Linked DNA regions of Saccharomyces cerevisiae S288C. Changing the gene in region 3 together with the main gene of any one other region gives a genetic interaction. Each region holds a gene or a part of one and is shown on either strand. Other genes may lie near its edges.

Region 1 (4,879 bases), on a different chromosome or scaffold from region 3:
GTGGAGCATCACACAGCCGTACATCCGGCCACACACGGTGGTTACCCCACTTCGTTTCTTTTTTCAGGGGCGATGCCACTTATCAGTTGTTTTTAGAATTCAGTGTCATTTGAGGGCGGTTCCTCCTTTTGGGGGTATATATAGAGAGGCTCCGGGTTTTGCCACCTTTGAATTCGCCTGCTTATCTTTCTTCTTCCGAAAGTGCTACTTCAGAAAGAGCAAGAACTGTACGGATAAGGATAAGTATATCTTCTATCTACTACAATACGACAAGAACTCTCGAACTCTCCCTCCCACTTTACTTTAACTAATAGATTATGCAGATTTTCGTCAAGACTTTGACCGGTAAAACCATAACATTGGAAGTTGAATCTTCCGATACCATCGACAACGTTAAGTCGAAAATTCAAGACAAGGAAGGTATCCCTCCAGATCAACAAAGATTGATCTTTGCCGGTAAGCAGCTAGAAGACGGTAGAACGCTGTCTGATTACAACATTCAGAAGGAGTCCACCTTACATCTTGTGCTAAGGCTAAGAGGTGGTATGCAGATCTTTGTTAAGACTTTGACCGGTAAAACCATCACTTTAGAGGTTGAATCCTCCGACACGATCGATAACGTTAAGTCGAAAATCCAGGACAAGGAAGGTATCCCTCCGGATCAACAGAGGTTGATCTTTGCCGGTAAGCAGCTAGAAGATGGTAGAACCTTGTCTGACTACAACATCCAAAAGGAATCTACTCTTCACTTGGTGTTGAGACTGAGAGGTGGTATGCAAATTTTTGTCAAGACACTGACAGGTAAGACTATAACCCTAGAGGTTGAATCTTCTGACACTATCGACAACGTTAAGTCGAAAATTCAAGACAAGGAAGGTATTCCTCCAGATCAACAAAGATTGATTTTTGCTGGTAAGCAACTGGAAGACGGTAGAACGCTGTCTGATTATAACATTCAGAAAGAGTCTACGTTGCATTTGGTGTTGAGATTGAGAGGTGGTATGCAAATTTTCGTCAAAACTCTAACAGGGAAGACTATAACCCTAGAGGTTGAATCTTCCGACACTATTGACAACGTCAAAAGTAAAATTCAAGATAAAGAAGGTATCCCTCCGGATCAACAGAGATTGATTTTTGCTGGTAAGCAACTAGAAGATGGTAGAACCTTGTCTGACTACAACATCCAAAAGGAATCTACTCTTCACTTGGTGTTGAGACTGAGAGGTGGTATGCAAATTTTTGTCAAGACACTGACAGGTAAGACTATAACCCTAGAGGTTGAATCTTCTGACACTATTGACAACGTTAAGTCGAAAATTCAAGACAAGGAAGGTATTCCTCCAGACCAGCAAAGATTGATTTTTGCCGGTAAGCAACTAGAAGATGGTAGAACGCTGTCGGACTACAATATTCAAAAGGAGTCCACTCTTCACCTTGTCTTGAGGTTGAGGGGTGGTAACTGATCAGTCCTCGCAATATTTTCATTATGTCAATATATATATGTTTACTCTCCTTTTTTCTTTTTGGTTTTTTTTTTTTTTTGATAAATACTCCATAGAACACTAAATAAATTGTTCAACTGTGTTATTGTCTTTATTCATGTTGGTTTTCAAGAGCTTGGATTTTTGAATCGTCTTATACTATGACGTTCACTATTTTCGCGAAGCCGGGTAATACCATTAGCTATTTTGATAGAAAGGGATTTTTATTAGGGAATATAAACCACCTTTATAGTGTCCTATCATGTTTCAATCTCCAGTAAACGCACATAAGCCGACCAATTGAGTCAACCTTTTAACTCTATTTAATTTGATACGGATAGAATATTGTGACTACCAAAAGGGAAAAGGCAGAAAAAAGGAAAATTAAGAACAGTTAAATGTTAGAGTCTTTAGCTGCTAATTTGCTAAACCGATTGCTAGGCTCATATGTGGAAAATTTCGACCCTAATCAATTAAATGTCGGCATATGGAGTGGTGATGTGAAGTTAAAAAACTTAAAACTAAGAAAAGACTGTTTGGACTCATTAAATTTACCCATAGATGTGAAATCAGGGATACTGGGTGATTTGGTCTTAACGGTCCCATGGTCAAGTTTAAAGAATAAGCCCGTGAAAATCATTATCGAGGACTGTTATTTATTATGCTCACCACGTTCAGAAGATCACGAAAATGATGAGGAGATGATAAAGAGAGCTTTTCGGTTGAAGATGAGGAAGGTAAGTGAATGGGAACTGACAAATCAGGCTCGCATACTGAGTACCCAATCAGAGAACAAAACCTCTTCTTCTTCTTCAGAAAAAAATAACGCCGGGTTTATGCAGTCTTTGACTACAAAGATCATAGACAATTTACAAGTTACCATAAAAAATATCCATTTAAGGTACGAGGACATGGACGGAATCTTCACTACAGGCCCATCTTCCGTTGGATTAACTTTGAACGAGCTATCAGCTGTATCTACAGATTCCAACTGGGCTCCAAGTTTCATTGATATTACACAGAATATCACGCATAAACTATTGACTTTAAATTCACTCTGTTTGTATTGGAATACAGACTCTCCGCCCTTGATTTCTGATGATGATCAAGATAGAAGCCTGGAAAATTTTGTAAGGGGTTTCAAAGATATGATTGCATCGAAAAATTCCACTGCCCCCAAGCATCAATACATTTTGAAACCGGTTAGCGGGCTAGGGAAGCTTAGTATCAACAAGCTGGGTTCCACGGAGGAACAACCTCACATTGACTTGCAAATGTTTTATGATGAATTTGGTTTAGAATTAGATGATACAGAATATAATGATATCTTGCATGTCCTCTCCAGTATACAGTTAAGACAAATTACCAAAAAGTTTAAGAAAGCAAGACCATCCTTCGCAGTTAGTGAAAACCCGACAGAATGGTTTAAATACATTGCTGCTTGTGTTATTAATGAAATTCATGAAAAAAACAAAATGTGGACTTGGGAAAGCATGAAGGAGAAATGTGAACAACGGAGGTTGTACACAAAATTATGGGTTGAAAAGTTAAAGTTAAAAAATTTAGAAGCTCCGCTACGTGACCCCATTCAGGAGGCTCAATTATCTGAATTGCATAAAGATTTAACGTATGATGAAATTATTCTCTTCAGATCTGTCGCTAAGAGACAGTACGCGCAATATAAGTTGGGCATGACGGAAGACTCACCCACACCAACAGCTAGCTCAAATATTGAACCACAAACTTCCAACAAGTCCGCAACTAAAAATAATGGAAGCTGGCTCTCTTCTTGGTGGAACGGTAAACCTACAGAAGAAGTAGACGAAGATTTAATAATGACTGAAGAACAGCGTCAGGAGCTTTATGATGCTATTGAATTTGACGAGAATGAAGATAAAGGTCCTGTACTGCAAGTTCCTAGAGAAAGGGTTGAACTTCGTGTAACGAGTTTGTTAAAAAAGGGTTCATTCACTATACGAAAGAAGAAGCAAAATCTAAATTTGGGTTCCATAATTTTTGAAAATTGTAAAGTTGATTTTGCTCAAAGACCTGATTCATTTTTATCGAGTTTCCAATTGAACAAATTCAGTCTCGAAGATGGCTCACCCAACGCGTTATATAAACATATCATTAGTGTCAGAAACTCATCTAAAGATCAATCTTCAATTGACAACCACGCTACCGGGGAGGAAGAAGAAGAGGATGAACCTTTATTACGTGCTTCATTTGAATTGAATCCACTAGATGGATTAGCAGATTCGAACTTAAACATTAAGTTATTGGGAATGACTGTGTTTTACCACGTTCATTTCATTACAGAGGTCCACAAGTTTTTTAAGGCGTCAAACCAACACATGGAAACAATCGGCAATATCGTAAACGCCGCCGAGGCAACTGTAGAAGGTTGGACAACACAAACAAGAATGGGTATTGAGTCTTTGTTGGAAGACCACAAGACCGTAAATGTATCTTTAGATTTACAAGCACCATTAATCATATTACCGTTAGACCCACATGATTGGGATACCCCTTGTGCGATCATTGATGCCGGTCATATGTCTATACTCAGTGATTTAGTGCCAAAGGAGAAGATAAAGGAAATAAAAGAGTTATCGCCGGAAGAATATGACAAGATTGACGGTAACGAAATCAATAGGTTAATGTTTGATAGGTTCCAAATTTTATCTCAGGATACTCAGATATTTGTTGGTCCTGATATTCAGTCTACTATAGGTAAGATCAATACCGCCTCTTCCACGAATGATTTTAGAATCTTGGATAAAATGAAATTAGAGTTAACTGTAGATCTATCAATCCTTCCTAAAGCATATAAATTACCCACGATAAGAGTTTTTGGTCATTTGCCTCGCTTAAGTCTTTCCATAAATGACATTCAATACAAGACTATTATGAATTTGATTGCTAATTCTATACCTTCTATGATTGATGATGAAGAAAACAACGGCGATTACGTTAATTACTCTTCTGGTTCCGAAAAAGAAATGAAGAAGCAAATTCAATTGCAGTTGAAGAATACTTTGAAAGCGTTAGAAAATATGCAGCCGCTTCAAATTGAACAGAAATTCTTAGAGCTCCATTTTGATATCGATCAGGCGAAAATAGCATTCTTTCAATGTATCAAAAATGATTCCAGAAACAGCGAAAAATTGGTTGATATATTGTGTCAAAGGCTAAATTTCAATTTTGATAAGAGAGCCAAAGAAATGAATTTAGATCTAAGAGTACATTCATTAGATGTTGAAGATTACATCGAGCTGACTGATAACAAGGAATTCAAAAACTTGATATCATCCGGCGTTGAAAAAGTGACAAGATCTCAAAAAGATTTGTTTACGCTAAAATACAAGAGAGTGCAGAGAATTGTGCCTCATAACGAT
Region 2 (3,777 bases), 230 kb from region 3:
AAATACCACCTCTTCGCAACTGGTTGAAAGTTTGGGTATTCAAGATTTGACAATGGTGGAACTCGATACTCTTTTGAGTGCAGGAAATAATACAGCATTAACGGATTCAGAATCTTATAATTTAGGTTTGCTGTGTTCAGATAAAAACAGTGGAGATATTTTGGATTGCCAACTCGAATTGTGGTACAAAAGCTTTGGACCACATGATGAATAATGCAAAACTCAAGAATATTTATTTGGGTATCTAAGACTAGCTTTAAAAGGTTCCAAAACTGGGGTAAGGTGTAATCTTTGTGTATAACTTGGTTTATGAAAGGGGTACATGACATGGCTAAAATTCTTCAGACGAACATCTTTAATCTAAAGTTTACATCTAACAAGTCCAATCTGAAAAATGTACAGCGTATAATTTTACATACCTCCAAAAGAAGAATTAAATCAAAGTGTGCAGATAATACTATATACAGCAAAATAAATGCTAACTTTACATATGATTGCTTTCATTTTAAATCATTCTTTCCAATTATGCCTAATTTCTGTCCCATCTTAACCTTATCACCAACCCTAACATCGAACTTAAATTCAGTGGGAGCTTCAAAACAAAGTACAACAGTGCTACCCAATTCAAAGCCACCCATTTCTTCACCCTTAACCAAAGGCATCCCTCCCAATATTTTACTTGCATTCTCATATACTGCCTGGTAGCAGGTATGTGGTTCCAAGTGTTTGTCGCTCTTTGAATTTGTCACAAATTCTTGATCAAAATTCAACTTGATTGAACCAACATTTGTTGCACCAACAGGAGTCATGCTAAAAAATCCGTACTTCCAACTACCCAACAAAGCAACTCTTTCATTTAGAACGAAAAGATTAGGGAAGTTACGCTGGAAATAAGGTGCCACGGAGAATAAATCACCTGGGAAATGGCGGCGAACCTTACAAACCCAGTCAACTGGAGAGTGGAAATGATGGTAATCACCGGGAGCCAAATAAATGACGGCAAAGAAAAGTTCCGTATCATGAGGCTCAGAGCACGAAAACCCATTAGAGAAGTAGTTTAAAGAAAGTTGACTTAAAAGATGTATATTTTTGGACACACTTGGTTTGAACTCTCGAACAGATTGATCGCCCTCGTTTTTAAAGTTAAGAAGAGGCTGTTCAGTGTCTTCGGAACCCGCTAATTGTATTCTATTTACCCTGGCGAATTCTCTATGCTTTTCCTCATCAGAAGTCAAATCTAGACTAGATGCACTCTTAGACATCAAGGGGTGGGAGTGAGTGCCAAGGAATTCTTTGATGGAATATGTCATTCCCTTGACTTGTTCGATTTCGCCAGTTTCAGAGTTGATTATACCAACTTGTAAAATCTTTCCATCACTTGGAGAAGCTATAACGTCTTCGCCTTGTGCTACTGGACGTGTGCCTGGTTTTATGTTACGATAGAAAAATTCGGATAAATTTGCATAATGTGTCAAATCAGGATCTTCCATCTCGTCCAAGTTAACTCCAAAAAGGAAAGAATATAACCTGTAACCCCATGGTCTAACCCAAATGGGTAACGTAAGAGAATTTACTTGGCCCCATAATCGAGACATCGCATTCAGCGGTAAAGTAGAATAGCAGAAAAAGAGCCAATTATTGTTAAATATTTTGATTTTTCTTGTCCTTCTCCCTTTTTTGCCCTCTGTAGCATCCTCCTCTGTACTATCATTCCTTGACACTAGTAAAATGGTTCCTAGAACAATGGTGAAACTAGTTAAAACAACCCATTTCATGGAGACCTGTTTTCTTCCGCTATTTGCGGCAGCAGCTTTGGCACGATCCACAATCTCTCCAGAACTGCGTCGTTGCTGAACGAAAAGACGCGTGGAAAACTTTCTATTCCATAGCACCGCAGTTCTATTTCTTAATTGCATTCTTGTAGAAAACTTTACAGCAGGCATCCTCCCCATGAGGAGCGTCCTCCCTTGCGCCAAGGCGTTCTTAACTGGCATAATTGACATGCTGGCTTTGCTTTTCCTTCTTCTTCAAAAAATAACGACCAAGAAGGATTTGAGCGATCTGCTAACAACTGGCTGAAGAGTCCTTAAAGCGCTACGTACCTCTAGGCGTCTCTTTTGTGAGTAAGCTGTTTTATATTATAGGTGAAGAACAAATTTTCCACATGCTTGTGCCTGCTTTAGATGTCCCTTGACCTCGAGATTTGAAAAAACACCAAAAAGGTGCTGGTTACCCTGCATGTGATATGTGATTACATAGCGTAGCGTATACAGAAGCACAATTGGTCGTATATGTGCCAAGCTTGTAGGAAATTAGTAACGCATAACGTGTTATCTGCGACAAGCGTGAATGCGACAGACATTATGTTTCTCTAAATTCATATGGTCCCGGCCGATTTTCACATTCGAAGTTCATGTCGACAATATTGTCATTATTCTGCAATAGCTCACAGTGAACACGGTCACCAGGCTTTAACTCGCCTACACCTGCAGGTGTACCAGTCAAAATGATATCACCCGGTTCCAGAGATATCATGGTAGATATGTGTTGCAGTATTTTATGGAGTGGGTGCAACATGAGGTTAGTACCACCATCTTGTCTCAACTGTCCGTTAACAGAGCACTTGACTCTGAAAATATCCTGTAAGTTTGATTTGTAGGATGAGAACTTCTCGCGGGAGACTATAGCAGAGATTGGCATGAAGGTGTCAAAACCCTTGCTTATAGTCCAAGGTAGCCCCTTCTTTTTGGCTTCATCTTGGACATTTCTTGCTGTAAGATCCAATGCTAGAGCTACACCACTAATAGAGTCATAGACTTCTTCGGGTTTCATCTTAGTGACATTGGACAAATGTTTGCTCACAATCAATGCCAACTCAATTTCGTGATGAACCTTCACACCGCGTGGGATAAAAATGGGCCCGGGGTTAGTTCCGTCTTCATTTAAACCATTGAAAGTCGAGTTTGCAGGTCTAGTGGTCTTGACCAATGATGAAGACAATGGTGTCACAATACTCGAGGTTGGTTTTAGGAAAAAAAACGGTTGTTTTGGAGTTGAATTGTTCAGCTCTTTGATATGCGCTGCGTAATTACGCCCAATGCATATAATTTTTCTAGCTGCCTTCAAATAATTGTAGCTCATAACGTTTTGGCAATTTCCTGAGTCTTTACTCGATAGCTTTCAGAATATTTCTATATAGGAAGTTCTGGCTGAAACGTTTTTCCTTATCAGTTAGAGAACGGTGACCATCTCTTGAAAGCGAACAAAAAAACGTGAGGCTAAGGAAGCTATTTAGGAAAATAGACGAAAAAGGAATGGCAAAAGAAGGAATGGCCCTTTCAAAATAGGTATAAGCAGCACAGCTTGATACATGCTAGGGTTGCAGCAGTATAACTGTACTCTCTTTATGAGCGTAGTGAAAAGACGGTGAAATTATAACGGTATGCTCTATGAAGAATAAATGCTGTAGGAAAATTTACGATAATAAAGCCTTTATTGTTGTTGATCAACAAAAGGAGGCTTAAGCAATTGATAAACTTCTGAAAAGAAGAACCCTATTAAAGTTTATATCAAATATAGAAAAAAAAATCTTGAAGTTACATAAATACAGAAAAAAGCGGGAGAATAAAAGGGATTTCCTCTTAAAAGGAACTTTATAGTGGAATATTTGCAATGAGAAAAGCGGACAGGTTGAAGAGTACGAAAGCATCAGATAGAAGACTATTTAAGAACCCCGTCGCTATCTCGTCAATTATTGTGAGGTAGAGTGGATAGTAC
Region 3 (5,288 bases):
CTAGGCTCTAGAACAGGTTTTTTCTTTGTGATGATACCACCCATCGACCAAGATACAGTGTCTACTTTGTAGTTGCGTTCCAGAATGGCACTTAACAAGTGTTGACCAGTATGTTGTTGCATATAATCCATTCTCTTTTGCTCGTCCACGGCCACTTCCACTGTTGTTCCGGGCTCAATGTAGTCATTGACATGATGCTTTGCATGTAAACCGAAACGAGAAACGTGTGAAACTAATATCTTCTCAATTTTCGACGAATTACGATTCCCTTCAACAATTTTCAAAAAACCAGAATCACTTGGTTGGCCCCCACCTTCGGGGAACAGAATAGTATCTTGTAGTTCAATCTCATAACCTTCAATCTCTCCCTTTTTATTCTTCGTTGGTTCGCAAGAAACAACCAGTGTTTTGAACCCATCGAAGAGAAATGAGTTCCTCTGGCAGGCTAAAGCGCCGACCTTGACAGGCGTCATAGGTGTGGGCATGATAACTTACCTTTTAATCAATTTTTGACGCTGTTGTGTGCTTTCGTCGATATGCGTCACCAGGATGTCTATTCTTAAGTTTTTTTTACACGATAAGGATAAAAAATAAAAAGATGTTAATGATGGGTGGTTGGTTCTTTTACTAATGAAAAGTGTAAGCATATTTCGTACAAATTGCTTGCAATAAGTCACTTGTACAAAAGTAAACTGATATAAACGTCTTCCTAGTGGGCTGAATTTCAGAATTTACGCGAGTGATACATGAATTTACTGATAATCGATGGTATTCGTTATTTGATAAGGTGGTATTATTGAATATACAGAATGCATTATATGCGCTCATTGAGGATATAATAGTCATGACAGGAAATCAATGTCCTACGTAATAACACTATTATTTCTTCCTTTGCATTGCACGTTGTTATGCATTACTCTGTTACATCATCAGTTCTTGTATTTCGGCTTTTACTAGATTTGAGATTGTATCTCATGGCTTATGTCACTTTCTTACATTGTGTGTGATAGGTATACTAGTAACATGGCCACTAGTCAATAAGCAACGGTCAATTCTTATTCCAGCAGTTCTTAATATGCATGGAATTAGTGAAGAATAGGAGCCGATAACTTTACTTGTGCATTTGTATTAAATTTACGTCCTTCTTATTTATTTCGTCCACGTACGTTACTACCCTTTTTCCAGTAATTTTTCTTTAACTTGAAATGGTCTTGTAACTCCTATTACATTCCGGTGCCATATCAAGAGTAGCCTGGTAATATAGAAAAATTCCAGTAGCTTAACAAGAGCCTATTTTTAATCAAAAATGCCGGAGCAAAAAGCCAACTGTTCACCAAACGGTAACATAACAGTTGATAGTATGATTATGTCGCTAGGATCTTCTTAAAGGATAACACGAATTACGAAACCAATAGAGGGATATTAGAAGGATCAGCTGAAACCTAAAGATCAATAATATAACAGGATTATAAGTGACAACATATAGTATTAAAGAAACAAACCGCTATATGATTGCATGTATTACCACCTCTCTTTTGTTGATACGCATATCCCTGAGGAAAACTCTCAGCACATTCCATATACGAGGGAAAAATTGGATTTCAAAAACTGGTATCTAATCCTACCGATGCGTATGTTAGTCGAAATCTATAAGTAAATTGTTAATGATTGCTTTCTGTTCGTTTATACTTCCATTTTACTTATATATCACCTGCCGTCTCAGACGACAAAATACATACAACTGGCGTAATGACGCTTTCATACAAAATATACATCTAAGGTAGTAATTCATTCTAGTAAATATTCATCCGAAAGCTGTAGTATCTGAAGTATATTGTACATTATCGTAACAAAATCCCCAGTGAAGTTTACTCACAATGGATTTCGTTGTAGACTATCAGACCTACGCAATGGCGGATACTGCCACGCCAGAATTACCAGAACCTGAGCCAAGACTAAACTTAACCTCAGATGCACAGTCACAGCCCACCGGTAAACTAGATCTACAGTTTAAGTTGCCCGACCTTCAACGTTATTCCAATAATAATGCAACTTTGCCAGTAGATAATGATGGTGCTGGTTCGAAAGACCTACATAAGAAAATGACACATTACGCAATGTCTTCCATTGATAAAATACAGCTTTCAAATCCAAGCAAACAATTAGGGCAAAATTCCCAGGATGAAAAACTATCGCAGCAAGAATCTCAAAATTTCACGAATTACGAGCCAAAAAACCTTGATTTATCAAAATTAGTATCCCCGTCAAGTGGTTCCAACAAAAATACCACAAATTTGGTTCTTTCGAATAAACTATCCAAGATATTGAACAATTACACATTGATTAACTATCAGGCCACAGTCCAACTAAGAAAATCCCTAAAGGTTCTAGAAGAGAATAAAGAGAGATTGTCCCTTGATGAACAAAAGCTCATGAATCCTGAATATGTAGGTACTTTGGCAAGAAGAGCATTGAGGACTGATTTGGAATCTCAACTGCTAAAGGAACATATTACGGTACTTGAGGAATTCAAACCTATCATTAGAAGGATTAAACGATTATCTTCTTCCGTCGAAAAAATACAAAGAACGAGCGAAAAATTACTAAGTAATGAGACAAATGAGGTTCCAACAAATAACGTGGTACTTCAGGAAATAGATCAATACCGTTTAAAGGCAGAGCAGTTGAAGCTGAAAAAAAAAATACTGTTATCTATAAGGGATAGGTTTACTTTGAATCAGGTAGAGGACGATGTAATCACCAATGGTACTATAGACAACATCTTTTTCGAGGTAGTAAAGAAAGTAATCAATATTAAAGATGAATCAAGTTTCTTGCTGACGCTTCCTAATTTGAATGCTGGAAATGCTTTGATAATGGGAGTTAATGAAATTTTAGAAAAGACAAACAAAAAAATCTTCAATTATTTGATCGATTTTTTATATAGTTTTGAATCCTCTTCAAATTTATTAAATGACCATGGTACTACTGAACAAGAAAGCTTAAACATTTTTCGGAAGAGTCTGGTCTTCCTGTCAAGTGATCTAGAATTATTTAATGAGTTGTTGAAAAGAGTGACCACACTGAGATCCAAGAGTATTCTGGATGAGTTTTTGTCTCAATTCGATATGAATTCAACTACCTCTAAACCCATCATATTATCGGCACACGATCCAATTAGGTATATTGGTGACGTACTAGCGTCCGTTCATTCCATCATCGCAAATGAAGCTGATTTCGTGAAGTCACTATTTGACTTTCAGGATGAAGACTTAAAAGATACCCCAATTTCTATACTTCAACAAAACAAGACATTCTTGAAAGGCATCGACAACAAATTGCTGAACGATATCATCCAGTCGCTATCCAATTCGTGTCGTATTCGTATCGAGCAAATCGTGAGGTTTGAAGAAAATCCGATCATCAATTTCGAGATTGTGAGGCTGCTGAAACTTTACAGAGTTATGTTCGAGAGAAAGGGAATTCAGGACGATAGTTCTATTATTAACAATTTAAAGTCGTTGGAAGACATTTCCAAAAACAGAATTATTGGATACTATGAAGACTATATGAAGCAAACAGTCATGGCGGAAACAAAAAATTCTTCAGATGATTTACTGCCACCAGAGTGGCTATCAGAGTATATGAATAAATTGGTAGAGTTATTTGAAATTTATGAAAAGACACATGCTGCCGAAGATGAGGAATCAGAAGATAATAAATTGCTCTCATCTAAGAATTTACAAACAATTGTAGAACAACCAATAAAAGATGTTCTGTTAAAACAATTGCAAACATCTTTTCCTTTGGCGAAAAAAAATGAAAAAGAAAAGGCATCATTGCTAACTATAGAGATAAACTGTTTCGATTTAATTAAATCTAGACTTCAACCTTTTGAGGGATTGTTTGCACAAGATGATGACAGCCGGAAAATCACCATCTGGGTTTGTGATAAACTGAAGGAATATACTAAGCAAATGCTAACTTTACAAATAAAATTCCTATTTGAGAATACAGGTTTAGACCTTTACAGCAATTTGGTCAATATGATTTTTCCTGTGGACTCAGTAAAGGATGAATTGGATTATGATATGTACTTAGCCCTGAGGGATAATTCATTGATGGAATTAGACATGGTCAGAAAAAATGTGCATGATAAGTTGAACTATTATCTACCTCAGGCGTTAACAGATGTTCAAGGTAATTTACTATTTAAATTAACGTCACCAATGATAGCTGATGAAATATGCGATGAATGTTTCAAGAAGTTGTCGCTATTTTATAATATCTTCAGGAAACTGTTGATTCATTTGTATCCGAACAAGAAGGATCAGGTATTCGAAATTTTAAATTTTTCCACTGATGAATTTGACATGTTGATAGGTATTGATCACTGAGAGATGAACAACTTCTGTTTAAAATCGTCTCACAAAGACGCATCTTGCCCATAATGTAGCGATGCTCTATATCTCAAATATTTGTTACCTTTTTTATGTTGGTATGCGGCGGGTATCTATATAATATATGGGTGTATACATACGTAGGGGGAACATCAAAAAGAAAATAATGATCACTCAAGTACTATTTAAAATCTTGCCTACAGAATTATCCTTTGTGATGGTTCTTACGGGGCTTTCGTTTCTACTACTGCTTTCACTGCATGTTCTGTCATCCAAGTCATCGTGTACTTGACGTCCTTCACGAACCGATTGCAGCATATTTGGTTGTTCCTTCATATTGGATTCAATTGGTTTGTCATGTGAGGTAAGTGCTACGGACACGTTAGAATGTATAGGGGATGGTGATCTCTGTACTTGTTTTTCTTTTGCTTCATCGATAATACTTAAATCGATCACTCCAAAGGAGGATGTGGATCTTGCACGCCTATGCTTTTTTTGAACCATTCCAGGTTTCCTTGGTATAGTATGTAAATTGTGCGTGTGGAGATCCTGTTGCTGTTGTGGAGGAGGAGGCAGTGGTTGAGATAGCGGCTGCTGTTGGTCTCTATTGAAACTTAGTATGGATGTCATTGTAGAAGGAATATTAGGATTGGTGAACTTTCCTATTGGAAGTGACAAGTTACGGCTGTGAAGAGAAGTCGGCTTCTTGTTTAAAGGCGATTCTTGAGATTTTGTACCAGAGGGAATTCGCCTAGCCACATCTTCCTCCTTAATGGAAATATTGTCATTCAACGCAGCAACTGCGGATGCACCTATTCTTGCAGGAGAATTAGCTCTTCGTTGTACATTTGTAACTGTGGAGTGTGATATACCGCCGGTAGAGGATGA

Evidence for each region.
Region 1: mutations in COG6 (region 3) and VPS13 together harm fitness more than expected from each alone (negative genetic interaction), as found in Saccharomyces cerevisiae (5 studies listed by BioGRID).
Region 2: mutations in COG6 (region 3) and PSD1 together harm fitness more than expected from each alone (negative genetic interaction), as found in Saccharomyces cerevisiae (5 studies listed by BioGRID).

Annotation. Positions count from the first base shown.
Region 1 is NC_001144.5:60,646-65,524, reverse strand, and holds the start of VPS13 (membrane morphogenesis protein VPS13), read left to right. Parts: upstream 1-1,879; coding exon 1,880-4,879. Other genes in the region: UBI4 (ubiquitin), read left to right, coding at 318-1,463.
Region 2 is NC_001146.8:315,669-319,445, forward strand, and holds PSD1 (phosphatidylserine decarboxylase 1), read right to left. Parts: upstream 2,004-3,777; coding exon 501-2,003; downstream 1-500. Other genes in the region: APC1 (anaphase promoting complex subunit 1), read left to right, coding at 1-214; FMP41 (Fmp41p), read right to left, coding at 2,362-3,141; SKO1 (Sko1p), read right to left, coding at 3,748-3,777. UniProt on the Saccharomyces cerevisiae protein: Catalyzes the formation of phosphatidylethanolamine (PtdEtn) from phosphatidylserine (PtdSer). Plays a central role in phospholipid metabolism and in the interorganelle trafficking of phosphatidylserine.
Region 3 is NC_001146.8:548,577-553,864, reverse strand, and holds COG6 (Golgi transport complex subunit COG6), read left to right. Parts: upstream 1-1,877; coding exon 1,878-4,397; downstream 4,398-5,288. Other genes in the region: YNL040W (putative alanine--tRNA ligase), read right to left, coding at 1-485; YNL040C-A (uncharacterized protein), read left to right, coding at 1,307-1,387; BOP3 (Bop3p), read right to left, coding at 4,575-5,288. UniProt on the Saccharomyces cerevisiae protein: Acts as a component of the peripheral membrane COG complex that is involved in intra-Golgi protein trafficking.